5 linked regions of the Coturnix japonica genome follow. The protein of the gene in region 4 purifies or fractionates together with the protein of the main gene of each other region. This does not show direct contact. Links are inferred from orthologs where the notes say so. Each region holds a gene or a part of one and is shown on either strand. Other genes may lie near its edges.

Evidence for each region.
Region 1: the proteins of MYBBP1A (region 4) and SIRT7 purify together in Homo sapiens (affinity purification with western blotting; 3 studies listed by BioGRID, with this or other methods). This does not show direct contact. The link is inferred for Coturnix japonica from reciprocal best matches to the Homo sapiens genes MYBBP1A and SIRT7.
Region 2: the proteins of MYBBP1A (region 4) and RPS6 purify together in Homo sapiens (affinity purification with mass spectrometry; 3 studies listed by BioGRID and IntAct, with this or other methods). This does not show direct contact. The link is inferred for Coturnix japonica from reciprocal best matches to the Homo sapiens genes MYBBP1A and RPS6.
Region 3: the proteins of MYBBP1A (region 4) and NPM1 purify together in Homo sapiens (affinity purification with mass spectrometry; 3 studies listed by BioGRID and IntAct, counting the BioPlex papers as one, with this or other methods). This does not show direct contact. The link is inferred for Coturnix japonica from reciprocal best matches to the Homo sapiens genes MYBBP1A and NPM1.
Region 5: the proteins of MYBBP1A (region 4) and LYAR purify together in Homo sapiens (affinity purification with mass spectrometry; 3 studies listed by BioGRID and IntAct, with this or other methods). This does not show direct contact. The link is inferred for Coturnix japonica from reciprocal best matches to the Homo sapiens genes MYBBP1A and LYAR.

The regions. Positions count from the first base shown.
Region 1 is NC_029533.1:4,426,359-4,432,538, reverse strand, and holds the start of SIRT7 (NAD-dependent protein deacetylase sirtuin-7), read right to left. Parts: upstream 3,710-6,180; 5' UTR 3,669-3,709; coding exon 3,573-3,668; intron 3,457-3,572; coding exon 3,319-3,456; intron 2,842-3,318; coding exon 2,737-2,841; intron 1,700-2,736; coding exon 1,629-1,699; intron 1,471-1,628; coding exon 1,398-1,470; intron 936-1,397; coding exon 837-935; intron 360-836; coding exon 123-359; intron 1-122. UniProt on the Homo sapiens protein: NAD-dependent protein-lysine deacylase that can act both as a deacetylase or deacylase (desuccinylase, depropionylase, deglutarylase and dedecanoylase), depending on the context. Specifically mediates deacetylation of histone H3 at 'Lys-18' (H3K18Ac).
Region 2 is NC_029547.1:30,387,282-30,393,493, forward strand, and holds the start of RPS6 (40S ribosomal protein S6), read right to left. Parts: upstream 3,656-6,212; 5' UTR 3,529-3,655; coding exon 3,523-3,528; intron 2,738-3,522; coding exon 2,606-2,737; intron 1,739-2,605; coding exon 1,528-1,738; intron 970-1,527; coding exon 823-969; intron 442-822; coding exon 284-441; intron 1-283. Other genes in the region: ACER2 (alkaline ceramidase 2), read left to right, coding at 4,582-4,689. UniProt on the Homo sapiens protein: Component of the 40S small ribosomal subunit. Plays an important role in controlling cell growth and proliferation through the selective translation of particular classes of mRNA.
Region 3 is NC_029528.1:13,577,723-13,583,340, forward strand, and holds the end of NPM1 (nucleophosmin), read left to right. Parts: intron 1-558; coding exon 559-648; intron 649-1,211; coding exon 1,212-1,313; intron 1,314-2,959; coding exon 2,960-3,034; intron 3,035-4,001; coding exon 4,002-4,040; 3' UTR 4,041-5,510; downstream 5,511-5,618. UniProt on the Homo sapiens protein: Involved in diverse cellular processes such as ribosome biogenesis, centrosome duplication, protein chaperoning, histone assembly, cell proliferation, and regulation of tumor suppressors p53/TP53 and ARF.
Region 4 is NC_029534.1:2,081,188-2,086,114, reverse strand, and holds the end of MYBBP1A (myb-binding protein 1A), read right to left. Parts: intron 4,662-4,927; coding exon 4,560-4,661; intron 3,659-4,559; coding exon 3,534-3,658; intron 2,481-3,533; coding exon 1,976-2,480; 3' UTR 1,849-1,975; downstream 1-1,848. UniProt on the Homo sapiens protein: May activate or repress transcription via interactions with sequence specific DNA-binding proteins. Repression may be mediated at least in part by histone deacetylase activity (HDAC activity).
Region 5 is NC_029519.1:71,292,617-71,299,006, forward strand, and holds the end of LYAR (cell growth-regulating nucleolar protein), read right to left. Parts: intron 5,360-6,390; coding exon 5,276-5,359; intron 4,594-5,275; coding exon 4,248-4,593; intron 4,022-4,247; coding exon 3,923-4,021; intron 3,169-3,922; coding exon 3,083-3,168; intron 2,791-3,082; coding exon 2,656-2,790; 3' UTR 1,611-2,655; downstream 1-1,610. UniProt on the Homo sapiens protein: Plays a role in the maintenance of the appropriate processing of 47S/45S pre-rRNA to 32S/30S pre-rRNAs and their subsequent processing to produce 18S and 28S rRNAs. Also acts at the level of transcription regulation.

The sequences.
Region 1 (6,180 bases), on a different chromosome or scaffold from region 4:
ATGGTGGGCGAATCCTGACACCAGAGTTTACAGTTGTCTGTTTGGGAGGAGACTGCTCAGCACCAAGGTGTATCACCAAGAGGGAATGCTGCTAACAATCTTCACCGAGTCTCTAAAGTTACCTTTAAGCTGGAACCCAGACAAAGAATCACATCTGCTTTGCTTGCAGCTTCTGTTGCTGCTTCCCAGTTCAGGGGCTGTGTCAGTGTCCCCTTCTCCCCAAAGTGGACGATTGTGTCTCTCAATTGAGCCCCGCATTTGTGGCACATCCTGCCCGTGTGGTGCTTGTGCAGGGCTGTGCGTTCGGTCACATCGAATACTCGCACATACTCTCTGTTGGGGGTACATGAAGTGCAGACCTATAGCACAGGAAGAAAAGATGTTGTATTGTCAGCATCTGGTCTGTTAAGAGCCCAGAGATGCAGCCACACCTCAAAAAGCACCTTTTGGGGACAACAAACCTGGAAGCAGTGGAAGGAATCACCTGTGTTTAGATGCTAACTTGGAAACACTCTGAAACACTCAGCTACTGAGTGAGAGGCATTGCAGGGGGCAGGCTGGCTGGGCAATAGGACAGGTTTTCAAGCAATGCCTGAAGAACTGCACTCAAAAGCAGAAGGCTCTAGCAAATACAGAGCAAAATCTGCCAGGTTGTACAGAAAACTTAACCATGGGGCCTGCTAACTACTTCACCCCAAAACTGACAACCTACAGATACCAACTAAGCCACAACTAGCCCTTGTACTAATTCCTGAGTCAGGAAGGGATAAATAATTAACATTAGCTTTTTACAAGGCCGGTACTGGCAGTACCTTTGTCCTTTTCTTGCTGCTCACCTCTATGTACATGTTTCCATGAAGCTCAGATATTGCTGATCGAGGTAACCCACTGCGCAGGTGCAGCCCATCACAGTTTTGAGATACCACGTGCTGCACCTGGAAAAGAACAAAACACTGAAATAACACACACAGAGAAGGCTCGAGAAAGTGTTATTCCAGTGCAGGTAACACATATATCTCAATGTGCAATAAATAGTTCTACTTCAATATACTGAGCTAAGAGAAGAAAAGCACAGAGTAGAACTCTGTGGAAGCTAAACAAAGAGGCTCCTGCTAAATACAGCTCTGTTAGGCCTGGCAGATTCTGTAGCCACATCCCCAGACCACAGCTTTGCCAGGAAGCAAACACAAGCTAATGAAAAAAGGCACAAGGGAAAAACTGCTGGAGCCAGTCTGGACATGGCCTGATGAAGGCTCAGCTGTACAGAAACAAGGACAATTGCCACCTCACTAAGGACAACAGTTAGGCAACGTCGTGAGTTTCTGTTTTCCTTTTTGAGCTGATTTATTGTACTGTGACAGAGGAGCACAAGTGATGTACGGAGAGAAAAATCTTACCAGGTTATGCTTGTGTAGACAAGCAATGCTCATATGGGTGAGCGTGGGCTCTGCCTCACTCAGATCTGTAGCACTGACAAGGGGCAAAAAGAAAAAAGAAGTTAGAAATTGCCATTCAAACTCTCTTTCAGTATCAGCTGTTTGTTGGGCAGCTCAAAATTCATCTCCTGAGTAGCTGTAGAACTGTTTTTCCAGGAAAGAGAAAGGAAAAATTCACTCCTGTCACCTTACCTGATGCTCCTGCCCTTCTGCAGCAATGTCCAAATGCCATTGGGGCCTCGGTAGTCTGGGATCGAAGCTGCCTGCGTTATGGAGAGAGACAAAGCGCAGCCTGACGGGAAAGTTCAGACCTCTTGTCCACCACCACATCAACCTGGCCTCACCCTGGACAGTGAGATACTGCATTCACTGCTGCTTTTTTGTTCACTCCAAGTTTTCTCATGTTTTCCTAATTATAGAGAGCTCTTTTCCTACCCTACAGTTCTCATTTTCTTGTGCAGTGTTTATTTTCTCCAGCTTTATCACTATGAAATCCCTCCAGAACACTCTCCTCCCTCAATTACTTCCCATTTCCCCACACAGAACCCATTTCTTGAACCTTTAATTCTTTACACTCTACTGATTTCAGGTAGGTCGTACTCAGTGATCATCAAAAGAAGCACCTATGACATGAACACTTTCTCATACGCTCTGCCCTGCTCCATGCTCCCTATCAGCTGAGACTGCAGAAAAGGGGAAGAACAATAAGGTTCCCATCTCAGAGCTCAGACAGAAGTGACAAATGTGCCATACAAAGAGGCAGCTCCAGATTGCCTTTCTCGTAAGAGGCCACAGAAACCATTTCTGAACCATCATTTTTAACTTCTAGTAAGCACTTGTTATTTCCAAATCGTTTATTAATGCAGGCTGCACTGAGCAGTTAACTTCTTTTAGCTTTAGCAGCAAAAGCAGCTGAAGAGACGTGAATGAAGACAGCCTACTGGTCTTATTTTAGAAGCTCATTCTTTGCATAGAGGCGATGCAGTCTCAGAATCTCTTGGCCAGCAGGAATATCTCAAGATGCAAATTAGTTAACACCTTGGTCATGGTTTGTAGTTCAACAGTGTTAATATAGAATCCCAGATATCCTCTGGGCAGCCTGGTCTGGTGGTTGGTGACCCTGCATGTAGTGAGGGGGTTGAAACTGGATGACCATTATGGTCCTTTTCAACCCAGGCCATTCTATGATTCTGTGATATCCCCACGGTCATTTGGAATCTACAGAAAACAGAGTTCAAACATTGCAACACTCCTGAAGGAGCTCCCAAAGCTCCAGCCACTCACCCCCAAAGAATCCTACCGTACTGATCCCTGCTCCTGTGTAGATGACAAGGTGCTTGGCATTCCGGATAGCAGCAGCCAGCTCAACAACCTTTCTCTTCAGCTCCTCTGGCTCATCACATACCTAGGAAATGCAAATGGGCAGTTTCAGCATGTCACTGAACCTGAAGGAACATAGAGCCCCTTGGCCATATGGGTCCATGCCAGCCAGAGAACGCATCACACAAATATTATCAGAAGCAATTTTTAACTAGAAGAATGTGGGTGTTTGGTGTCTGTATTATCTATGGAGGAACAAAGGGTTTCTGGACAGCAGCACATGCAGATACACCCCTCCATGGGGGAACGCCCACTCAGAAAACCAAACACGCTTCAAAGAGGTTGGCAGCCGCAAGAAGCAACAAGGCTGGGGCGGGGGAATCAGCCGAGACCGGCACAGCAGGACACAGCCCCGAGGGATGGGGGCACTGCTGGGAGGGCGGCACCATCAGTTCTGCTGTCACAGCAGCAGCTCAGCGCCCACCAGCTCCCCCGGGTCACATCGCACAGCGGCTCCTCGCCCCCGTCCAGCCGCACCCACTGGGCCCCGCCCGGCTCCCACCTCCTCCTGCCGCCGTCGCAGCCTGTCCCGCCTCTTGCGGCGCCGCTCCAGCTCCCGCACGATGTCGTCGCTCTCGCTCAGCACCTGACACTCCTCGGGGCTCCGCTCCGACGGCGGCTTCCTCCAGATACGGGAAACCTGCCCGGCACACACAGCGCGTCACGGCGGCCAGGCCAGGCCGCGCCGTACCGTACCGTGTCGTACCGTACAGTGCTGTACCGTGCCGTGCCGTGCCGTGCCGTACCGTACCGTACCTGTCTCCGCCGGTCCCGCTGCTCCTCCTGCTGTAGGATCTCTGCTCTCGCCGCCGCCTTCCGCTCCGTGCGGCTGAGGCTGCCGCCGGCCGCCATCGCCCCGGAAGCGCCGCACTTCCGCTATGAGCTTCCTCTCGGGGAGCGGCCGAGCGCCGCTTCCGTCCCCTCCCACCCCGCGGTGCGCAACAGCGCCCCCTAGAGCGGCGGAGGACCGAGCCGCAAGGAAGCGCCGGGCCGTGGTGTTTGAAAGCTGTTTATTGTCATGTACAAAACAACGGCGGCCGCGCCGGCAGACGAACACTATGTACAGCAATAAATAACGCCCGCCGTCGCCGCGCGGGGCAATAACTTAGCAATAAATACCGCCCCCCTCCACAGCGGACGGGTGCGGGGCCGGGACGGGCCCGGCAGCCGCTGCAGCCCCGGCCCACGGCACGGCGGGTCCGTCCGGGCCGATCCGAGCTCGGGCCTCCCCCGCCCCGCTGCCCCGGGACAAGGCGGAACTCACTGACACGATTCACCACACGATACACAAACCCCGCCCGGCCGCTGCACGGACACACTGCGTGGTTCCTTTGAGGGCGGTTGGGGTCGGGCCCAACCTCCACAACCACTGCATCAAAAATGTACCGGGAAAGGAGAAAGAAAACACAACACCCTTCACAGCAGGAAACCGAACGGACGAGCACCTCAGGAACAAGAACTGCCACACTCCAGAACGCTATATACGAGAGAGAGAGAGAGCAGAGCGATGGGCTCGGGGCAGGACGGCCTCACAGTACCGGGTGATGAGGACAGGCTGCCCCGAGCGTGACGGGAGGTTCCTCAGACACGGCAGAAATACATGAGTCAGATTGCAATACTTCACTGAGAACAAAACCAAAACACACCACGCCATACGGGGAAGCAGCACCCGGCAGAGGAGCACAGCCACCCCAGCACCTCTAGGATGGAGCCAGGCAGAGCTTGGTGAGCAGGGAACCATCTCAGCTGCAGGTTCACCCTGTGGCAGCAGCTTTGTGCCCATATGTCCCTAAAGAGATGTGTCCTCACTGAATGCATTCACTCAAAGCAAACTGGGACCACAAGCTAAAGCACAGCGCAAAGGAGGGGAAATGACAGCACTCATGGCTGGTGGAGTCAGCGCTGACACCTGCTCTGTCCTCCTCACTTGCTCCAGGAAAGCACAGGCTCTTATGGCAGCAGCAATTGCCATCCAGAAGGCAGAGAAGGATCGGGTGCAGAATACAATGGAAATGAGTTTGTGGGAGCTGTGGGACTGCCTGTCATTGCCTGCTCTGTTGATGGAGCCCTCCTCAAAACAATCTCCAGTAAATGGAGACAGTTTTGCGCACAAAACCTTGTCTGCTCGCTCTGCAGAGGTCAGGTCTCCAGCTGGGGTCAGGAAAGCTCTCCTGCCAGGTCAGATCTCAGGCTGACTCCAGGAGGGACAGGGTTGGATTTTAAACCCTGAGCCAGCCAAAGGACTCTGTGCTGTGTCCCATCCCCTCCTCACACCATCCACATCCACCAGCTGGAAGACAAAGGCTCGAGCCTAGAAGCCTGTGCCAAGTGTTGCACAGCAAGTAGCCCATCCGGTGCATGGCAAGGAAGCAGCAAAACAAACACCTCAGTTCAGAGAGGAGAAAACTCATGAGCTGGATGGGGGAAGCCTGAAGGTGATGTTCTAACCTACTCCTTACTCATAACGTTCACAGGGAAAAGAGTTCCAAGCAGCTTCTCCCTAAGCCTGCAATTAGTCAGTGCAAAGCTGATCTCTTTCAACAAGAAATCCCATCAGCTCCTCTCCTGCTGTGCTGCAGCTCTCTTTAGGTTTGCCTGCTTTTCAGCCCAGAGAAAAGCACATCATTTCAGCCATGTGAGAAACTCATCACCAAAACACATCCAGTACAGCAAACTTCACTTGTGCCATCCTTATCGGTCTCCTGTGCTCAGGTGATTTTTGACAGCCAAAAGATCAAACAGACTTCATCCCCATGCCCTGCTTCTCCACAACAACTCGGTAACCAGCAGCTGTCCTAGTGTGAAAATGGAGCCTCACCACAAATCATCTCTCAGCTGTGTCACACAGCTGTCAGTTTAAGTACCTTTACCAGCACCTACAGCCAGAAGCTGCAGCAGGAAAAATAATAACCAAGACATTGCTCACTTTGCAGTAATACGCTGATGCTCAGCACAAGAGACTGCAGCTTCAGGACAAGCGCAGGTCCTGCACTGCCTATAACACCATCAGCCCTGCCTCTTATCAGAGGAGCCAAGAGCACAGCGTGAGCTCTGACCACAAGATCCACATCCAGCTCCAGCATTCAACCCCTTCAGTCTCCTTCTGAACTTATATAGCTCTCCCTTGTGTTACTTCTCAGCCAGAGGAGAGCAGTTCCACTGGGAACGCATCCCCCATGCAGGTAACTCCGAGATCAGCACTGGCTGGGCAGTGAGATGCCTGAGCTGCTTGTGCAGAAGCCACAGCTACAACACCCAGAGAGAGAAGCAGATGTCCTGCAAAACCCCTCTGCAGAGCAGTGTTTTCTGGGCAGCCATTCATTTTCACCTCTAAGAAAAGCAGCATCTTTGCCTGTGCGCCAGA
Region 2 (6,212 bases), on a different chromosome or scaffold from region 4:
TGGTACTGCAAAAAACGTATCATTATCATGGGCTATAAATGCCCATCATTTTCTTCAAAATTAGCTCTGAGAAACAGACCAGACCCATCACCTCAACTGCTTTACTGCACTGGCAAGAATGAATAGCAACGCTCTCAAAGTTGTCTGCCAGTAAATAAACATTCACGCTCTCATTCAGATACCAGTCAGTTTCTACCACACATTTTTAAGTGTACAGTCAAGCTTATAAAATCCCAAGATTCTCAGGCATGAGGAACAGCCATGTCATGAGGGGTACACGTACCTTCATTCTCTTTGCCAAGAGCTTGGCATAATCTGCTGCCTCCTCCTTGTTCTTCTGAGTGCGCTGCTTCTTCAGGGCAATACGTCTGCGCTTATGCTGCAGAACTCGAGGAGTCACAAGTCGCTGGATCTTAGGAGCCTTGGTCCTGGGTTTCTTGCCTTAAAATGAGTTATTAATAAGAAGTGTGACAAGCTATCTTCCAAAGAGGATGCAAGCCCCCCCCCAACAACCATAAAACAGCATATTCCACTCAAACAGTAACACTTAGCACAGTATATACAGTGCAGGAAAAGCAATCCAATTTTTGTCACACATAGCACTAACAAAATGCAGCCTTAACACTGATGTGTTATCAAGCAGGGAAACATTAAGTACTGCCTCTCTAAATTCCTATAGTTTTGTGAAGATACCTGGCTTCTCAAAATACCTGCCAGAAAACAGAACACTGCCCCTTGTTCTAAGCACTAGGGAAGTCTATGGAACTCATTATCTGCTGAAAATGACACGCAACCACAGTGCTGTAAAACCTGAGTTCTTACCCTCTTTATTCAGAGGTTTCCTCACAACATACTGGCGAACATCATCCTCCTTGGAGAGATTGAACAGCTTGCGGATCCTGCTAGCTCTCTTGGGACCAAGACGGCGAGGCACAGTTGTGTCTGTCAGCCCAGGAATATCCTTTTCACCTTTGATAAAGCAAATTTAGACATGTTACTTAGTCTTGCATCTACTAAACATCTCTTTAACTATAGTTGCTCATTAATTTAAAGTGAATTATAAAAGCAAGATACTATGACGGCTGCTGTAAAAATAACACCTTCTATTTTATTACATTTGCTCTTGTTCACTGCTGGTGAAAATGTATAGCTAATAGTGGTGCCTATGTTAAAAAGTAGTGTTCTGTAGCTGAGACCTTGCTCTATCAAATGGCGTTATTGTGCTCTTTGGTACTGTTGTCATTCCCATGGAAATACATAGGAAGCGTTACTTTCTGAGCAATTTAGGTGGATTATCCCTGGGGTACACCTGCCACTAGTGCCTCCTCTGACTGCACTGACTTAATGAAATAATGTTGCTTGTGATCAGTTCTCATCATTTAAAGTTACAGTACAATGCTTAGAGAGAATTTTAACGTGCATTTAGACAATTAAGACTGAGACAGCGTTTGTATTCTACAGGACTTTACAGCCACTAGCACGCAGGTTCTTTCCAGGTGCCTACTTCTACCTACAGACTGCACGTACCCTTTTTCACAATGACCAAGTTCAGAACACTCAAGTTGGCATCAACAATGCAACCCCGAACAGATTTGCGTTTCCTCTCTCCAGTTCTCCTGGGGCGGTAGCAGGAGTGGCCCTTGCTGAGCAGAAGGCGGACACGTCCATGAGTAAGGACACCCTGCTTCATGGGGAAGCCTTGTTTGTCATTGCCACCACTGATCCGGACAACATAGCCCTGCAGAAACAAAGAAATACACCTCTTACTTGCTCAAGTCCCTATCAATTCAACGAGAGGAGGTGGAGATCACAATACTGTGTTCCTATCAAACACTGCACCACCAGAAAAGTCACTGTAAGTGCAGACACTAAGTACTGCTTCAACATACATCATTTCAACAGCTCAGGCTGAAGCTCACTTAACACAGACATGAAACATGTCTTTACATATCCCAACTAGCATTTACTGCCTCTTCAAACATGTATCCAAGCAGCAAATTCCTATTTGTTACAAGCTAGTGTAATACACACCAAACTAAGCCCCAACGCTTTCATGCTAACCTTTTCTTTGCCTTCATGCTGAACCTCACCAATGTCTGTTAACATCACTAACTGCACATACGTACACAACATGTTTCTATTAAGACATGGGGGTAAAAATAGCTCTTACTGCCTTCCTTAAGAGACAGCAGCAACACAGATCATCTTATTCAAGCTCAGCTGGACTGCCCATATTGACATCTCACTATTCCAAACCTATCTATCAAGTTCAACATGCTTGTTCTCATATGCACTTAACAGTTTAAATAATCCTTGAGCTTGTTCAATGCAGAATTATGACTTTCGTGGTATAGTCTTCATTTGTCTTGAACATTGCTAGGATACCCAAATCAAGAACAGAAAACTATTTAAAAATCCAGCAACTGTCTGAAACACATAGACTTAAAAGAAAAAGGAAGAAGAACTAAAACCCTGCTCATTCATTAAATTCAGTATGTATTTTAAGAGATACTTTCAACATATTTGCCAGATGCATAGCACAAAAGTACCCTAGGAACTGGAAAACTTAATCAACTTGACTACACCTGACACACTGGACTCTTACCTTCCACTCCTCGCCAAGAGAATCAGCTGCAACCTCCGTGGCCATTCGCTTCTCATAGAATGTTCTCAGCTTACGCTCATCATCCACTTCAATAAGCTTCTGGCAGCCAGTGGCTGGGAAAGAGATGTTGAGCTAACAGAAGAAAAAAATAAACAATGAATGATTTAATTGAGGCTTCTCACATGACATTTCCAGAAAAAAGTTAGTGTTAACTGCTGGTTTCACCTTAATGTTTCAAATCTGAAAGCTTCTACTTGCTTATTAGCAGTAACCTGTTACTACTGCACTTACAGAACCAGGCAAATCTGTGTGTGCTAAGAATGATACCAAACCTGCCCCATGCAACTACGTTCACCACAACGAAAGCACTATGCCCTCTAAACTGACTGCCACCAAGTAAATGGCGGTATAGCAACAAAAAGCCGTACGCCCTTCCTCTTATGTATGACTTGAAAGAAACAACACGAGCAACCTGAAATAGTCACGCTACGCCTTGGTTATCACCCGTGTTTCCCGAGGGCTATTGCAAGACCAGTAACCTCGGAGACACTGCCCAGCACTTCCCCAGACACAAGGCCACGGAAGCAGGCCCAGCTCCACTACCTCCTTGCTGGGGCTCTGCTTCTCTCGGTGAGGATCCGCTGTTGTTCCCCGCCGTAAGGAGCCCCATAACGGGGTGACTCAACCCATCGCATAGAGTCCCCAGCGCAGGAAGAGGCCCCAACATGGGGCACGGTGCCGCGCGGCCGCCATCTCGAACCACCCGCAATCCACCGTCATCCAGCCCGCAGATGCGCCCGGAGCCCGCTACCGCAGCCCATCGCGCCCCGTCAGCAGCCCCAGAGGCAACGCCAGGTTCATTTGTGCTGCGGGAACCCAGCCCCCGCAGCACCGCCCAGCCGCCGCCACAGCCTCACCTTCATCCTCGCCGAGCTGCGCCGCCGCACAAAAAGGCCTCACTTCCGCTCGCAGCCCGCACATACGCTCGCCAACCCTCGCGAGAGCGGCCCACCGGCGCCGCGCCCATCCACACGTGACCGCAGCTGTCCAATTGCGAGCGAGGCCTGCTCTCGCTAGGGGGCGTGGCGGGAGGGCGGCTTCCGGGCTGTCAGCGCTAGGAGACGTGTGACCCCCCCCCAATGCCCCACGTCACTTAGTGCGCCCCGGGGACGCAGTGGTAGGAATGCAGCGTTGCAACACCGGAGGACACGGGTTCGAATCCCCCCTGTGGCGCAAGTGTTAGAAGTGCCGCTCTGCTACACAGAGGCTCGAATCCCGGGGGCTGGACTCGATGATCTCTAAGGTCCCTTCCAACCCGCACAAGACTGTGATACTGTGAGAGGAAAAGGGCATGGCTGGTTGGTATTGTGCACAGCCTCAGCATTACACTAATGTTGAGCCCAAGAGCCTGAAGTATCTGCAGGAACGCATCTAGAGTCCCATTCTGAGCTGCTCAGTTCAAGAAGGAAAACTTCTTCAGAGTCCATCACCCAAAGATGATTATGTATCTGGAGCATCTGTCGTACGGGGAAAGCCTGAGAGACCTGGGTCAGTTCTGCCTGGAGAAGAGGCTTCCCCAAGAGAAGAGGGGGGTCTTATCACTGCTTATAAATACCCAAAGTGCAGGAATTTCAGAATTTCTCAGGAATTCAGAGGATGGTGCCACGCTCTTTTCAGTCTGGTGCTGCGCAGAAGGACGTGAGAAGCCAAACATTTCCACCCCAGCGTTAGAACAAGTGCTGCTAATGCACACAAAGGAGGGCGGGCGGGCCGTGCGGGGACGGCAAGAGCCGGGAAAGCAGCGCCTTTGGAGCGGCCCCTGGCATGAGGCGGGTCCCAGGAGCCGCGGCTCCACAGTCAGGGCCGCCCCGCCAGGGGGGCGGGCACTGAGGGAGGTGGGAGGGGGGACAGCCGTCCCGCTCCGCCCCGCCCCGCCCCGCAGAGCCGCTATCGCTTGGCAGGGGCGGGCGGGCGCCATGGGCGCGATGCTGTGGTGGGATCAGCTTCGGGCCGGCAGCTCCGAGGTGGATTGGTGCGAGGACAACTACACCATCGTGCCCGCCATCGCGGAGTTCTACAACACGGTGCGCGGCGGGAGGGAGGGTCCTTGGGCCGGGCACAGCAGCGGGCTGCGCGGGCGGGTCTGGCGTCTGCCCGGACACGGTGCCCCGTGGGCTGGCGGTGCTGAAGGGCCTCGCCGAGGGGCTCCGTGGGTGCCCCGCTGGACGCGGTAGCTGAGGTGACAGCCGGCTGTGCGGCTTCGTATCGCAGGCGTAAGGTTTATCACCAGGTTGAGACAGGGCTGTGAGCCACGAGTGAACGGTGTGCGCGTCCTGCCCGGTGCTGCCCGGCCCACGGGTGTCCCGTGCCGGACTGCCGCGGCTGCTGTCCCGTGGCGCAGGTGTAAGTCTGCCCTACGGCGTGCGAGGAAGGGGCGGGCCACGAGCAGACCCACCGGGTGTTTGGAGGCTAAACCGTGCTTTAAAGCTTTGCAGTCTCCCAGAGCCAAACTTAGAGGAGCAGTTTGACAGAGGGTTGCAGGGTGCAGTCAGCACGGTGTTGCTGGGAGGAGTCGCCTCAAGAAAGGTGAAAAAAGGAAAGATGACTGAAGTAATTGTTACTTCCTCCAGGTTCACTCCTGAGTCCTGTCATCCCAGCCCAAAAGCTGCTGGGGAATGCTGCTAGGGAGCACTGATGTAAGTGTATTAGCCACAGCAGAGATCCGGGAGGGGAGCGCTGCTCCAAGCATCCTGTTTATTCATCTGAGGGTTTGCAGTGACAAACAGATCCATCAAGGAGTGAGATCATACATCGGGCTTTCTGGTGATGTGCTTTACCATGTTGCCAGGAGGGAGCCCTGCAAACAACATGCCTGTGGTGGCAGTCGGGGTTATCTGTTCTGTGTCAGGTGTGAGGTGGGGTTTCTGCTTTGTCTGACTTCAAAATGGCCTTTTAATTTCTTCCCCAAATTCCGTCCTCATCTGAGCACTCTTTCAGTCTGTGTTTCTTGACTGCTAACATCAGATGCTAGTGCTGCACTTCTGTGTAGGAAAGAAAGAGGTGTCTGGAGTGTTCATCCCTCACGGGAGTGTGTACCATGGGATGCACTGCATTTAGAACAAATAATTCAACTGTGCATGGCTTACGTGGCTAATCTGTTGTTTTTCCTTGTAGTTCTGCACTGGAGTTATCTGGGTGGTGTATCGTCTGTGTTTGAGGGTGTGTGGTGAAACAAGCTGCTTTCTTTGTTTCTGATGTCACTGTGCAAGAATCAAAAACAAAGGGAGGAAAAGGTCAAGATAAACAATAAGTTTCTTGAAGAAGCGATGCGTTTTGAAGCCAGCAATGCAGGGGGTTCAATATCCTTCTGTCTGTGCTGAGCTGATTAGCTGTGGCGAGAAAGCGTGCAAAATGCTGGGAGCTGCATGTATGTCCAGGTGATTAACTGAGCTTCCAGATAGACTAGCACCTAGAGAGCCATAGAACAGAGTTTGCCCTGAAACCCCCTGTACTGCTGAAGCTTCATCCAGATCAGCTAACTGTGCATCAGAAACATGGAGGGTAGAGGTTGTGTTGTGGGTAGACATGCTTCAGTAGTGAAGAGATT
Region 3 (5,618 bases), on a different chromosome or scaffold from region 4:
CATCTGGTGGTAAAAATAAAACAAAACAACTTCACAGCTGCAGAGATTTAATGCTTTATTTGAACGTGTATGTATCGGCTTGAATTTGTATTAAAATAACAGCTTTCTTAGGGACAGAACAGTTAATGTATCAGGTTTTTCCAGTCATCTAATCACTGAGTGAAATGGACCTTTGGTTTAAATAGGAACACAGGAATGTGGTTCATAGATATGCATGTGGCATTGCTCTTCCACAATCCCAGAGTAGATTTCTGTATAAAATACTAGAGAGTCTAGGATATAAATGAGGAAAATAGTCCTGTCTATGGCCTTGTAGCAAAACTTAATTGTTCTCTGTGGTGCTGAAGCAGCAAGCAGGCTGTCTTTTCATATGTAATTCACTGTTGTTTCTAATTTCTGCTTAAGTAATGGGCACTGAAAACACTACATGGGGAATGAGACCTCATGCAAAAACTTGAGGTTAAATAGTGTTTATTTGTCACAGGCTTTTCAGTGTTGTTAGCACCCATAGCAGTATTGTGTTTTCATGGCAAATTGTTTGGATTACTTTCTTTGCAGCCTGCCCGGGAGCCAGCAGGAAAAAATGCACAGAAAGCAAAGCAAAATGGAAAAGACTCAAAGCCGTCCACACCAGCATCTAAAACAAAAGTGAGTGGAAGAAAAATGAGTGAAATGATTGTGTTGCTCTGGAAGCTGGTTTCCTTGCCTAGCAGAAACTTAATGTGTTAATCATCAAGTTAGCATGCTTCATATGCCTTCAGAAACCTGTTACTTCCTTGCTTCATATACCCCATGAAACTCAGTATTTGTCCTTTGTGAAGGTTAGATGTCTGGTAGTTTTTCTGCATCTACTCAAAGAAGGTCAATACACAAATTAGAGTGGGATGATGGGTACAAGCATGGCACCTGAAAAGCACAGTCAGTGCGTGCCTTTCCAAATTGTGAATCAAACTTGGCTGTAGTTGTAGAGGGAGCTCTAAATCAGGGAATGTTTGGGCTGGTTTCAGTTTCGTTTCTGCTTGAAGAAAAAGCAGTGTGGACACGTGCATAGAAACAGTTCAAGATAATTATGGTAATTATTAGCCACTTCTTGTATTGAAGATAAACTCTACAGTAGGTTTCCCAGTATTTCTGTTTTCAGAAAGCTTGTTTTATGCATAACTCTGTATGCAGCTTTGTATGTGATCTCTAACAAAATGAATAATTTTCAGACTCCAGATTCCAAGAAGGACAAAACTCTAACTCCAAAAACACCCAAAGTTCCTCTGACGTTAGAGGAGATCAAAGCAAAAATGCAAGCCTCCGTAGACAAGGTGAGTTTGTTAACTGTGATCAGCCTTATTTTTAACACTTCCAACAGCAGAAGAATGGTTTTGAGAACTGCATGTTACTGCTTGCTGTGCTCTTAACTCAGTGTATATTGATAAATTCGTATTGACACCCAGAAGTGAAAGAAAGATGATTTAGAATAAGCCTCTGCTTGTGAGAAAGTGAGGAAAAATATTTAACCAGTAGTAGTTATTAGTTTTGTATTTGCTGACTGAGTGTGAGGCTGCAGGATAAAAGTGGAGCACAGTAATCACTTGGGGTGATGTTTACTCTAGTGGTACAAAATAGTATTCATGACTTGTGTTTGGGGCAGCTAGAGTAAGGAGGAGTTCTTAGCATGCTTGGAATTGCTTTGTCCTCCAGCAGTATACAGAGTTGATATCCAGAGGCATGTAAGGCTCTGTAACTTCCAGAAGGGGGAGATAGATGCTTGTGATTAAAGCTGTGTTTGGATAGAAGTGCTCTGTCAGTTGCTTGAGTAAAAAGTGTGGTAAGAATCAGCAGTTCTTTTCCCATAAGCCAAGTCTGAATACCTGTGTGCTATGTAGGTTCACTGCAGACAAACCTTTACTTTAGAACAGCTGGAGGTGAGGACCTGACATCACCAGCTGTGGTTTTTTACTTCAGTAACTTAGAACTGCATAAAAATCATGTGTCCTTTGGTGACTGAACAATACGTTTGGAAAGCTGTTTTTGAATAAAGCTGAAACCTACAGTGATGACAGTAAATGGAGAGAGTTTTTTTTTTGTGATTTGAGATGAGCTGTTTCCTCCTTATGCTGACAAGTCACCCAGAGAATCACTATCATGGAATGGTTGGGATAGTTTCAGACCTTGTGCTGTGTGTGAGTAGGGATGTCTTCCATTTTGCAGTTGTTCCAAGCCCCATCCAGCCTGGCCTTGGATGCTTCCAGGCATTGGGGTATCTGTACCTTCTCTGAGCAACCTGTGAATGCTGATAGGATTAGGCTTATCTTGTGTTTAGATTCCTGAAGTTTTAAGGCAGTTTTGTCCCACTAATGCAAAATGCAGCAAAAATTATTTTAGTGTACAGAGGGGTGCAGAGTGAGCAAGGATGGATGGGTGGTGCTTCTATCAGGACAGACATGCGGATCCTTATGTGGTGAACCTGATGCTGACAAGATGTTTTTGAGGTCAGGTTAACCTCTTGGTACAGATGGGTGCTGGGGTGGTTCCTTGAGATTTCATGTTTTTTAAGATGGTGTTTATCTCTATGCAAAATGCAGTGTGGCGTTTAGCTGTAACAGCCAGTGAGTTAACAGCTTAAAGAACAGCTTCCATTGTTTTATTAATGTCATAAAGAAGGTTTTCTTTAGTAAATATTAAGCAGATATCAGCAAGCAAATGAAACCAGTAGATTGCAGGGGTAAGGCATCATCCAGACGACATGAGTGAAGATGCCTGTCCAGGCATTTCAGTGCAGGCACAGTGCTTTGAGAAATACCTGGGTGCCATAGAAAAGCAAACTTAAACCTTTAGCTTTTGGACCTTGCAAGGTGAGTTCAGTAAAATTCCACTTGCGTTGCAGAAGGTTGAAGCTTCAGCAGAGCTGTGGAGCGTATGCGGCTCGTTGCATCATTCCAATAAAGCTTGCTTTTTTTCAAAATAGGGTTGTTCCCTTCCGAAGCTGGAGCCCAAATTTGCCAACTATGTTAAGAATTGCTTCAGGACGGAGGACCAAAAGGTAACTGGATTTATTGAAACCTGATAAAACCCAAAGCCTTTTATAACCTAACCTAGGGATTCTTTTCCACTTCTTAATCTTTACAAGCTTTGGACTCTTTCAAAGGGTTACAAACCACGAACAATGCTTCAAATTAAATGGGAACAGTTTTAAGGGTTTAGTTGGCTAAGATGAGAAAGTTAATATTTTATTACATTTTTCCAGCTTTTATATGGTTGGTAAATTATCTCTTGCTTACCGAACCCACAGAATTTTCCTTTTGGCACCGTATTGGTGAAGGAAATGAGCTGTGGTTTTCCTTGCTGCTGAAGTTGGCCACCTAGGCCAGTCTGCCGCTCAGCCTTTTGTTGGGGAGGGTGTCTGGGAGGGGGAACTGTTTTGCAATTGAGATTATGGCTTTCTCGCCGCGTTTTCTCCCAAAGTCAACTGAACTCTTGTAAGAGGGCAAGCCAAAAGGTGGTATCAGGAAGCAAGCTTCTGTATTAGTTATTACTCAACTTGTACTGGGCTAAAAAGCGTCTTAGATTTCCCTACAGAAATTCCTGTAAGTTGAAAACTTCTCTTCCAGTGACAGAATTCCTTACGCTTTCTTGCTTCCTTCGGTGGTTCAGAGTAAACGTGTCTGATAGGCAAATTGATAGGTTCTTGAAAGAGTGCTTAAAAGCAGTTAGCCTCAGCTACTGGAGTGAGTCTGACATTAGCCAGGGTAGGCAGAGTTCAGCCAATATTTGCCTAGCTGGTCCACACCCATCCTCTCACTTACCTTCACTGGATTTTTATTATTGTGATTGAAGCGAATAACAGCCTTCTAGCAGAAGGATCCGATGTGTTGCTTTCAGCTTAGTTTCCTCTGAAAGAAATGTGGGGTTTTTTTGGTCATTGAATGTCAATATAGCAAAGCGGGTGAAAAATAAAAACCACAACAAGAAATAGATTTCAGTTTCTAACCATTTGTGTACACTTCCAGGTCATTCAAGCTCTCTGGCAATGGAGACAGACTCTGTAAGAGAACCATTTAAACAGTTTGTTAAAGTCTGCAGTCTTACTTCTGTAACCGTTATTTGGCTGTTCTTTTTACAAATGCTGAAAGAGCTTTCCCTACAGTGTCTGATAAATGTCATCCAGATTACCTTGCCAAGAATGTGTTGTCCAAAATGCCTGTTTAGTTTTTAAAAGACGGGACTCCACCCTCAGCTTCATTTTAAGTATGTATGGAATGTTTTGATAAGGCATGGTGGTGTGGTGGTGGTGGTCAGACAAATGGAAATGGTGGGAAGACTAAATGTACGTGGAAAAAAAAATAATAAAATTTAGTATTTTAATAAAGTATTATCGTTTCTTTCTTTATGGGTTGGGGGTAGGCTGCATACCAAACCCAGGAGATAACAGGGCTTTTAAGTTCTCGTAGGAGCTACTGCTAACTATTTGAGCTGCTTCTCTTTAGCAACTACACATCGGTCTCGGTCATGTTGTCAGCTTTAAGAACAGCCATACCCCAATTCCGTGAGCTCCGCAGCTACTGAGCAAATGGCTTATAGTGAGAAGGCTTAGTGGTAAGCGGGACTTTATTCTTGTCTGGAAGAGACCACTAATTATGTAATTGCATACAACAGCCCTTCCTGCATCTCAGTTTCTGACCCGCTTCATTGCCTTTTGGTTTATGGTTTCATTCTAACAGCTAAGTTTGTAGGGTTTGTGACTCTGCTTGTAAAATGTAATACTTTTGATTTGGGAACTGCTGGCAGTGCTGTTCCTCTGAGGGGCTGCAGTCTCTGAGGTTGTCTCAATGACTGGGCTAAGGGTTTTGTGGAGGGGAGTGTAAGCTTGAATGCTGAAGGATGTGCCCAAGGAGCTCACAATGAGGGGGATCAGTGGCCCATGGAGAAATTCCTGGGAATAACGGAGAGTTAATCCTCTGGTCTTTGAAGATTGAAGACTGCAAATCCCAAAAGCTCAGATGGGCAGGTAGTCTGCATCACAGTTCCTCAGATCATTCTCCGAAGCACTCCAGATAATGGTTGTCCACATTGAAACTTAATCCTCCTATTTAAACGGGGCAAAGCATGTTCAGTTCTTACACTGATCTTTGGAGGCAATTAATTCTCAGAGTAAACACGATGCTTACTAAGCAGTAATTGTTCTTCAGTATGCCCGGGTTGACGAAATGGAGCCTTATTAGCTATGTTATTTTTATTGATTGCCTAGCAGCGATACTAAAAGGATCATTTTAAAGTAACTCGTTGGTCTATGTTCAGTTGCTATATGAGGTTCAAATGCCAGGGTATGAAGTCAGTGGTATGTGAAGGGAGGAAAGCAAGCGTGGATGATATACCTGGCACTGAACTTGTTCTCAAAGCTCTTGTCTAAATGCTGTATTGCTTCAGGTGCTTGAATGCTCTCTCTGTGTAGTAACTGCAGTAATGCTATGAAGACCAAAACAACGCTAATAAATGTTGAAACAGTTGTAACAATTAAACTTGATTTAACCCTTGATGTGTGTGAGTTAATGCAACTGACTTTCCTCTTTTTCTCAGCACAAGTCTTGAGACCTGGAAGGCGCTGAAGCAGCTTGTTGGAGGTTGGA
Region 4 (4,927 bases):
TTCAGAGGGGATGGTCCAGGATCAACCCTTTTGAATCCTGACAGCTTTCTTTTGCTTCACTTCATGAATGGTGTGTGGTTTTGTTTTTAAGCAAGCATTAACTCCCTCTGCAGCCAGTACTGCATTTGCACCAATGTACTCGCTATGAAGCAACTAGACTGCTTGTACACAGCAAGAGGAAGAGGTAATGGGAACTGCACAAAGAGGCAAGAAAATTACCCAAAAAGCAGCAAGCTGCCAAGCCAAGTAACCACACTGCCTCCTGCTGCTGTCACTCAGCTTGTATCTGAGTGGGGGAACCCAACAGCCTCTCACCTCTTACAGAACTAGCTAAGGGAGAACCTCAGGGTGACAGATTGCTATGAAATGAATGGATGTTGAATGGAAATCAGAGTTATTCTCTGCACCTTCTGCCCTAATTGTTGTCTTCTCCATTTGCTTTATTGTTTGGTAAACCAGCGCTTACTATCACCTTTACTACGTGATGTATGGGAGTATACAGTATATTTTCTTGTTATACAAGGGAGAGTATAAAATAGTTTTCTGATTTCTTTCAGAAGCAAATGACTATTTTATTTTTTAAGAGCAATCGATTGTGAATCTCAGAGTATAAAAAAAAAAAGAGAGAGAAATAAGCCAAATCTATACCTTTATGTAAATTAAGAAATAAAAGTATTTAAAACATACCACCTGGCTGCCTCTCCTGTATCACCACTTGGTCTGACTGCACGCTCCTGTAGGGCTGGTCCCTAAGATGAGGATGCCCTCAGCTACTGCCAGAAGTGCTCTGACAAGGGTTGCAATGAACATACCTGTGTACCTGCCTCCACAAGGTGCCAGAGGAAGAGCTGTGAGAGTAGAACACAAGATGCAGGGAAAGAAAGGACATTGCTGAGTCCTGCCAGCAGGCAGCCACTGCAGCTCCAGCCCTAACCTGCTGCTGCCAGAAGCCAGCTCACTACCTGGGATGCACAACAAGCCTCGCTTGATTGCTGCTGGGACATGGACATGAGAGGAGATCTGTGCCTTCCCACTGCAACTGAATGGGATCGTATTGATGCCAGCAGCTGCCTCCTGGGGAGTCTTATGCCATTTGAGAAAAGACACTGCAAAGGTAGTGCAGTGTCCCTCCAAAAGCAACATGACATTTCCTTTGCCCTTACCCATGTGGCGTAGAACAAATTCACCTGCAGAAATAAAGCCAAAGGTGCTGCAGAAACAGCCCCGCTCCTGGGCCCCGCAGGTCCAGCCTCCAGGAGCGTGGTGGTCAGCAGGTCAGGGAGAGGAAAGGAAGGATGAGGTTGCACACAGTCTGCTGGCCTGGCAGACTAACAAATTAATTAGCCACTGCAATTGCTTTCAGTGTTTTATTGACATCCCTGTGCTATCAAACCAGGGGCATCATCCCTCTTGCACCCAGAAGCAAAGGGATGCACAGGGGAAAGCAAAAAAGCAAGACCATGCTAGTTACTGATGACATCTGAGTGGCCCAGATTGGATATATTTAACCTCAGAATATGCATGTACAAGCCCGTTTAACCCTCAGGCATTTCAAACAGACAGCATCTTCTAGACTGGAAAAGCTGCAAATACTGCAGGGCCTGAAGAGGACAAGAACAGCCCTTCAGGGGAACCTCCCACAGGGCTCAACCACACAACTCTGCAGTGTCAGCACACCTACCACATCCCCAGGGAATCCAGGCAAGCCTCTCACTTCTGCCTTGAGGTTATCATATAAAAATGGAGCCTGTGCTACTGAGCTCGGGATGTTTGGTGTTGCCAGAGCCAGATGGGACACAGATCCCTGTACTGCAACTGAACCTTCTTACAACAAGTCAGACCTGCAGCTTCAAAGCTTGGCATCATGGAAGGTTTATTTAAATTCAGGGAGGGCATAAAAATATAGTTATAAAAGATATTAGAACAGTCCTCTGAGTCACATTAGCCGTGCCAAACCAGGGTGAGTCCATGAAGTTTACTCCTGCAGCACGGCAGATTTTTTCTCTTTCCTTTTCTTCTTGGCTTTGCCCTGCTTCTGCTGGGTCTCCTGGTTGACATCTCCCTTGACTTTCTTTGCAGCTGGAATCTGTTCAGCTTCATTGCCTGCATCACCTTTTCTTTTTCTATTCTTCTTCTTCTTCCTCTTCTTCGCAGCCACAGCATCTTCACCATTAACAGCTCCATTCTCTCTGCCCTCAGCTGCCACCCCATTCTCTCTGACCCCCCTGTTCCGCTTCCTGTGCTTCTTGCTACCAGGTAGACGGCCGTCCTTTTGCTCAGGGGTTTCTGTTCCCAGTGGCTTCTCATCTGGGGCTGCTGAGTCTCCATCTTCACTGGCTGCTGGTGCTCCTCCATTCTCCCTAACGGCTTTCTTGCGATTCTTACGTTTTTTGGTCTCTGGTAGGAACCCTTTCTTCTTACGCTTCAGTGGCTCTGCTTCCTGCACAGGTTTATTGGCTGTCTTCTCTTTCTTGGGCTTCCTGCAGAGAGAACACCAAAAATCAAGAGCAACTCGTTTTAAAGCCAGAAGCAAAGCTATCCATGTTGCAGGCAGCCACAAACAGGCAGGAGCACAAGAATGATGCAGGAAGTACAGGCATGCTGTGAGGATGAGTGTCATCCCTGGAGGTGGCCCCCAGCCTGCAGAGAAGATGGCTAACTGAGCTGTAGGGCTGCACAGGCTTGCAGAGACTGGATTAAGAAGCCCCATTTCTCAAGCAGGACCATCCATGGCTCCAAGTGAGGCTACAGAGATGCTGTCTGTCCATCCTGAGCAAAGCCCATCTGTGCTGCTCTGCCACAGCACAGTGGCACCAAGTGACAGCAGGCTGCACCCACAAACCCCAATCCTTTCCTCCGACAGCATGCACAAGGTCAGTGTTGCCTACCTACCTTCCCTGAGCAATCCCCCTTCGCAGTCTCTACCTGCTGCTAAAACTGACCTTCATCTTGGGACAGACCTTGCAGTACAAGTGACCTGTATGAGGCTGTGCCTTTGTGCAGTCCCTCCCTGCCTGTGAGCCTCTCACAGTGAGCCATGTGCAAGTATTTCCCCCAGAACCAAACTGTGCTGAGATCCCACAGACCAGGCCACCCACACACTGAGACTGCAAATCCCAGCCATTAGGAGAGCTACCCAGCACTTCCTGAATGCTGTGCACATCACCAACGCTGCCAGAAGGAAGGGGAAGCAAGAATTTCAATTACAAGCTATTGATAGAAAGGAGAAAAAGATCCTGCCCTTCTTTTTCGCCCTGGAGCAAAATTCAAATCCAGATGCCATTTAGCACAAGAGTATTGAGGCATAAGGACTGAATGCTTTCCAGCTTTCAAAGCTGCAAGGCAAATGTGGCTGGGGTTCCAGGCCACAAGGAGCCCAAGTATCACTTTAAGGGGCTGAAGGTCCTTGCACAGTGTCCCCGGTAAAGAAATACCCTGCTTTGTTTTCCTACCTCCTACATCAAAGAGGAGAAGCAGGACAGGCAGTCAGCCCCCCAGGTGAGCCAAGAAGCCAAAGAGCCAGGCATACGTACGTGTGATTCAGCCATCGCATGACGTTCCAGTACAGAGAGTCGAGCCGTGCTGACTTCCCGATGCTTTCCTGCTGGTTCAGAGCTACCAGCACTTTGTCCAACTCCATCAGCTCCACGTGCAGCTTCTGCAGGAGGCGAGTGCAAAACAACCATCAGCACTGAGCTCAGAAGGGGACTCACAGCTGCAGGACACAGTAAAACCTCAGGTAAAACTGCCAGGAACAACCAAGCTGCCTGGTTACTCCAAGCCACCGCCCTGAGCCCATTCACTGCAGCACTTCAATGTGGGGGGCAAAAACAGGCAATTCATGCCCCCATCAGGTACAAAGTTCGATTGAAAACTGGTCCCTAGCATGACAGCTGTGAGTGTAAGCTGGAACTGTACCGGTATGAAAGGGACAGAAAGATCCTTTAGTCCTTTTTTCCTTTACAGACCATGACTGGGGGCGTAGGGATGAAGATTATGTACTGTGCACCCATCTAAGAGCAAAGCAGCAGCATTTTCAGTCTGGTTTTTAAATGATGCAGTCACGCTGCCTCCAATGGCCTCTTACAGCTTCTGTGACCCACGGGCCAATTTCAGTGAACCCAGCCAGAAACGGGTGTCTCCAGGGTTATTCAGTGCTACAAGAACCCTGGAAATAATCTCTCTCCCCACCCACTTTCCTATTAGGTATTAACAAAGAAACAGGCTGTGCTGTGGGTTCCATGCTTATCAGTAGGAAACTGGGCTTCAGCAATTATGCTGCTTGCGTTATTTTGCTCTAGTAAATAAGACCATGTTGGAAACTCATTTTGTCACCTACAGAAAACCTTATGCTTAAAAAGGCCCTTTTCTATAGGGCCGAACAATGCGTCGCTCCCACTCAGAAAGCAGCTGGATAGGGATGCAGTGGCAGAGCAGTCACAGAATCCAAGCATGACACCTGACAGAGACCTCAGTGGTGTTCAGAAGGAGAAGAACCACTAGCCCTGCACTCAGTGTGTCACAGAGCACAAAACACACAGGATCAGTCCCACTCTCACCTGCTGCGTCGCAGTTTTGAGGAGGAAGTTGAGCAGCTCCAAGCATCTGGCAACTTTCTCCTTCTCAGCTTTCACCCTTAACTTATCAGCCCCTTTCAAACTCTGCAAATTAAAGGGAGAAGCACACGTTAAATGGGGAAGCAAATCTGTCTTCTCAGGAGAAAGCAGAGAACAGGCAGAATTCACCTGTCACCAAAACAACCCTGCAACAAAGCTCACCAAACTCTGGCAGTGCTCAGGAAGGAACACAGTGGAAGCTGCTGTGCCCAGGTTAATTACAGAACAGCTGAACAAAATAAGCACAAGTATATCACAAAGCACAACTCCACAACTCTCCCTAAGATAAAGCACAGCTGGGGACACGTTGC
Region 5 (6,390 bases), on a different chromosome or scaffold from region 4:
AGAATGAAATACTCTAATGCACCCGTATGGTGGAGTGCTGAGTACAACAAACAAGTAGACATCCTTTGAAGCTTTCTTCTTTTCAGCAATTAAAATCCCTGCTTAAATTCTGATGCTACACTTAACCAAGAAAGCCACCGACTTTAAACAATTCATTTTCTGATCAACAGCACTTCCATCTTTCTCACTCATCCAAAGACATTCGATCTCCAATACAATATTTTAGGAAGGAAAATTCTAGTGATAAAGCATGCTTCCTTATGGAGATAAGTTATGCTGTTTAGAAAATCAGCAAACAGAATATTCTTAAACATTCTGTAATGCTACGTTACTGATATCTGATGGTTTCTCATCAATTTATTGTGACTGCTAACATTGCCAATATGACTGTAGGTATGTAACTTCCTTGTAACAGACCACTGGGATTGAAACAAACAAACAAATCAGTCAATACATTGATTAATCATTTTTGAGATAAAAGTAGGAAGGTCTTACTGTTTTTATGTCTTGGTGAAATATTCTGAATGGGATACAAGGGAGTATCCCCCCCTCTGAAATGATGACCATTAAACTGGTAATTATTAAGAGGGTAATTTCAGTTAGATAGAAACATTGTTACCTGCAAGTAGTAAACTGAATCTTGAATGTGTTTTAAGTAAAAAAGCCACGTTCAGACCTCTGAGGAATCTCTTGTCTAATGAAAAAATATTGATTTCTTTTTTTATTATTATTGTTAATGTTGAGCTGTGTGTCAGTAATGCAGCTGTGCATGGACTTTAGCATTTCAAGTGATCTTTAGGGACACAGTCTCCTCTACCATACGGTACCACTTCCAGCAATACTCATAAGGAAAAGCATACAAGTTTGCAAAGCCTATTCTTCCTCCCTCCCTTTCTTTCTGCCAACAGACAGTGAAAAGGTGATATTGCTATAAAGATATATAATGAAGAAATACTAATGTAACAGGATGATAGTAGACTCCCTGCTAGTGACTATCAATGAGGAGGCGTTAATTTCCTCCATGTCGGCCAATAAGTAGCTTGTGCTTCTTTGCCCTTTAAGGGAGAGAAGAATCAGATGCAAAAGTCGAATTTACAGTCCCACATAGGCAATACTAATACAGGCATGTCAGCACCCAGTGGAAATCAGGCATTTCAAGCATTAAGAATCACAAGTTACTGTAGGAAAATGGGCAAATCCTGCTCAGCTGGTGCGTATTGTCATTCTGATATGATATTCCATATCTCAGTTTTATACATGTCTGTCATTTGTATACGCTTGTTGGATATTTGTTATGGTCAACAACATGGTCAGTGTAGTCACCACCACATGGTCAACGTTTGCATGGTCAATAAAACAACTTTTAATCTTTGGAAGATACTAAAAAAATGGCTTAACTTGGAACAAATTTTAAACAATAGTTAAAACCTCTAACAATTACTCCAACAAAACTACTTAATATCTCTGTCTGACATCCATATTTATAGTACAATAAACAGTGAAAAGATTAATGGGAGTGTATTCACTTTAGTCTTCTGTCCTTTCCTACATTAAAATAAATAAATAAAAATAAAAAATAGCTTTTGAAAAGCATTGAAAGAACTTCTCAGTTTTCCCAGGGTTGTAAATAAATTTTATTCACATACATCCAAAGCCATTCTCATGAACTGGCAAACAAGCACTTAGTGAAGAAAGAAACTTTTTATGGACTTCTATTGTATTTTTTTCTTATAAACAAGACAAATATGTACTCAAAAAAACTGGACCCAGACATTTAACATTTTCATACTTCTAATAAATCCAGCAGTTTTACAAATTTGAGTATTTTAATTAAGATTTCTGCCTTTTAAAATTTTTTGGTGACTGTAATACAAGAAATTATGTATAGTCTGTGGATTTCATGCACAAATTTCTTCTCAGTTGGTTTGTTCCTTTTTTCAGTACAATTATAAACTGATAAGATTTAATACATTCAAGGTAGTGCTTTACAGTCATTTATTTCACTGGTCAATTTTTAGTATAAGTGAGATCACTTACAGTCAGTTGCAATACTAATTATAACACTAAGTAGCTATGCACATACAGGTAACAGTCTTTAGATTTTCACTGAACGTGCAATCTTAAAAACATAAATTTTACAGACATTGTAGTTATGCACTTCACAACATAAAATTAAGAGGTCATTAAAGCCTGTGTATACAAGCTACAGTGCATAAAGAAACTATCAATCATACCATTTTTAACTGGATCATAACAAAACATTTTTCCATGTTGAGGTTTTGAATATGAAAATCCTATTGATCTTACAGTAGTTTCTACAAAAAGCCACACAACTGTGGTCCTGACAGACATTCATGCCTATCAATTAAATCCATTACTGGAAGAATTTTATATATCTGTTGCCTACTATTTTCAATGCCTCTTAAAACTTGTACAAAAAAATATACATTTTCCTTAAAAATTATAAAAGATCTGAAAACAGATATGCAGCACTCCTAAAATATTCTGCAATAAATCTAGAAAAAGGAGTCCCGACTTAAATTCTGAACTCTCATATGCAAACAATTAAAATTGAGACCAATACATGATGTCTGTCCACTTGACAGCAGAATTTGACTCAGTCTGCACTGCAAACATTATGGAAAGTATGAAAAATTATTTCACAAGTTTCACTTTGTCCTTTAAAACTTTAAATTTGGGATTGTTGTTCACTTTCTTATTAAACGTAACTAGAATATCCTCTTCTGATTTGTGATGATCACCAGCTACTGCATAGTACTGAGCTATAACCTGCACAAAGAAAGAGGAACAGCTCTGAGTTAGTAAAGATCCAGTTAAAGCTGTAATACAATCATGTTACTGTATTAAAAGTAGTACAGAAACTGCTACGCTACGCGTTTGCAGAACTTGCCTCTGTATTCTACTGAGTTCTAAAGAATGAGTCTAGTTCTAGTCATGTTCTGCTAAGAAACATCAAACATTTTTGACAGGAACAGGATTTTACAAGCTTCAGCACTACAGGAAAACAAAACTCAAGAGCAAAGAAGACTTAGAACCTAAAAAAAAAGATAGTGCACTGTACCTTTTTCCTTAGTTTTTTAATTGAAATTTCATTGTCTGGAGCCTGTTTCAGAACAGCTTTGATGGTTCCTTTCCAGTTGAATTTACCTAGAAAATAATTAGGCATATAAAAATGTAAGTTTACCAGATCTTGTGGTAGGAACCTTCAAACTTCTTCTTTTAGAACCAGTTCAGCTGCCATCATGGTTCTCTGTTATCCTACTGACTTTACAACAGCAGAATGTCTTAAGTATAAAGTCAGGTAGGCTGTTCCTGAATATTTTAATTGGATGTCCATGAAGAACCATTGTGCAACATGAGTAGTTAGGGTCAAGATGGCTTTCACTTAGCTCCTGAGTTTCAGCTATAAACCAGAAACCACTACATAATACACAATCTGCATGTTCAAGGACAGACATCCCTCAAAGATAGTGAAGTGCCTTGGCATATCTAAGAACAAACCAAGTCAAACACAGATATAAACTCGAATTTATGATTCAATTATAAAAAATGGTGATTTAAAAGACAACACAGATACAAAGCTGCTATCATTTTTCCTCTGTGCTGCCTCAGGTGTATGGCAGCAGGGAAGAAACCTAATGTGGTGAAACAAATATTCCAGATTCCTCAAAGTCTGATGAAATTAAGTGTAGCTAGAGGCTGCCAGCACAGAATTAACATAAGAATGCAGAACTAGGTGTAAAGTGTAGCACAGGCTTCTTCCTCTGGAACAGATAAGTGAATGTTATGATTGAGGCAGAACTTACTTCACAGCTTTCTGCAAAAGCATCATATTCTGCACGAGATCTTTTGTAACACAGTTTTGTAACCATCTAAATTTTCCCCTTCAGAATATCTTTACCTTTTCCAAGAGTTTCTTCATCGCCATTGGTGTTCTCTGTTTCCATGTCTTCTGACACGCTTTCAGTTTTCATTCTCTTTTTTGTGATACAGGGTTCCTCTAGAGGTGAAATGCACACACAGAAAAAGTGATAAAACTAGAAGTTCCATGGGGAGCAAATTTCTATTCTTGTTAACATAAGCTTCTATTTGTTAGGATGTTCATGTTCTGTAAAATCTGTGTATTTAACATTCATTACTTTTACAAATTCCACTGAAGTAGATTATTGATCTTTTAGGCACTGGCAAAGGTCTGGAAACAATAATAGAGTAAGTAGGATAGATACCTTCTACATGTTTATGTTTGCGTTTCCTGACATTGGTTTCCTCTTCAATCTCATTCTGATGGCCATTTCCATTCATTTCAAATTCATTCTCCGAGCTCTCCTTCTGTTTTTTGGACTTCTTATTCTTTTTAGTTTCTGAGCTCACAGGCTGATTTTCTAATTTCAGATCTTTTTTCTCCTTCTTATTGTTCTTTTGTCTCTCTTCTTTTCTTTCTTTCTTACTCTTTTTCTGCTTGGCTTCACCATCTGTAACTTCATTTTCTTCCGCCACTGCTTTTTGCCCATTATCTGCAGACTGTACTACATCCTTCTGTTGTGGTTTGTCAGGTTCTTTTTTACCTGCCACCTATTTTGAGAGACAGAGAATTACAATTTTTGACATTCCTTAATTGTTAATTCAGCTATTTTGCACTACACCATTTCTGAAATACACCACTATCCTGAATTCAGCCAAGCTTACTACACAAGGTAACACCAGTAGTAAACTCTATGGCTTGATTCTTCTGTTAACTGCTAATAACCTCGACATCACAGAAGAAATGTTATCATGTAAAAAAATATTTGGCTTGGTTTTATTTGTTTTGCTTTGTTTTACAGTATATTTTGCTCTATGTAATAAATGGTGCACTTGTTGCATGGATACATGTTTAAAAACTCCATTCTCAAGGCATTTAAAATGCAGTATTGGAATTTCTAAGGGCACAATTGATGTGAATGCCAGAAAACATAAACATGATGATACAAAACATTATGTACATCCTAAACTGAAACACTATATTTAGCAGGCAAAGACATAATTCCGAAACACTGCTATTAATAATTAGTTGCATTATCGGAATACAAGGAAGAAGGAATGTGCAGATTAGAGTCAGTATAGAGTCTGTATATTTTTTTAAGATATATTTGCTAAAATTAATCAAGTTACAGGTAACAAAAAGCTTTGATTTCTGAAGATAAACATTTTTTTTAATGCACTGCTGTTGTACAGCGTTATACCTCTTATTTATTATTATCTTAAATTAACTTACATCTCCATTTGCTTCAGAAAAAATATCCCACACCTGATTTTGCAAAGTGCTGTCAGTAACTCTCAAACTGTTCTTCATCCAGTTCTGTGCAGGAAAGAAAACGAACACAATCCCAATAACTTTAAAAAGCGTGCCTCCTTTTCCTTTTTTCTTCTCCTCACTACCATATAATTCATTCTTAAATTTAAGAATTTTGTTATTTTGCATGATGAATATCTGGTTCGATGTTTATCCTCTACGAATCCCTTAAAACCCAACGCTAATTTGTTTTGTGTAGCATATAGTTAAAAGTCTATGCCATGCCTGTCAATTGCCTCACCAACAATAATCCAGATGAGATCAATTGTGTTAGCAACGGTAATGGGAGGACGGTTGGACTACATGATCCTGTAGGTCCTTTCCAACTTTGTGATTCAATGATTCAGAATGATACAGAAAATGATATCCTCAAGCTTTTGAACAGAGCTAGTAAACCTTCTGATTGTTGGTATGAGCCAAAATATTAAGGATCTGTTCTTTGTTTCACTACAGACAAATAATCCTTTAGGGACACCTGGAAAGGCTTCACTGGTAAACTGGAATAATGTACTGCAAAAACTTGATCTTTCAATGCAATATCTTACCAAAAAGAAGAAAGCTTCTTGAAAATGGAACTTCCTTGGCTTAGAACATTTTGGTTAATTTTGTCAAACTAGTCTAACCTTCTGGCTGGCTCTGGCAGCAATTTCACACCAGTTCTATTACATCCTATCTGAATCACCTAGAAGCAGTCATGATTTTCTCTCAGCTTTACAAATTGAGACACAAAATGAAGTGGAGGAAAGGCCAACTTGTAATTCTTTACAGATACCACATAAAGCATTTGGAGTCTGCTGTGGTTGGGAAGCACAGAACAATCAAGTACTCTGTGTGGGAGGGGGAATCAGAATGCTAATCAACAGGAAAACTCCCTATAACAAACAGTACAAGCCTACACATCCAATCTTAATCCCTAAGTCTGGGAGACAACTTTGTGAGTCTCTGGCCTAATGAATAATTAAAACTGCAGTTAGACAAACTGCATTTAGACACCTTTTATGAAATGAGAAATAATTTAGAAACACCTCCTATTTAAA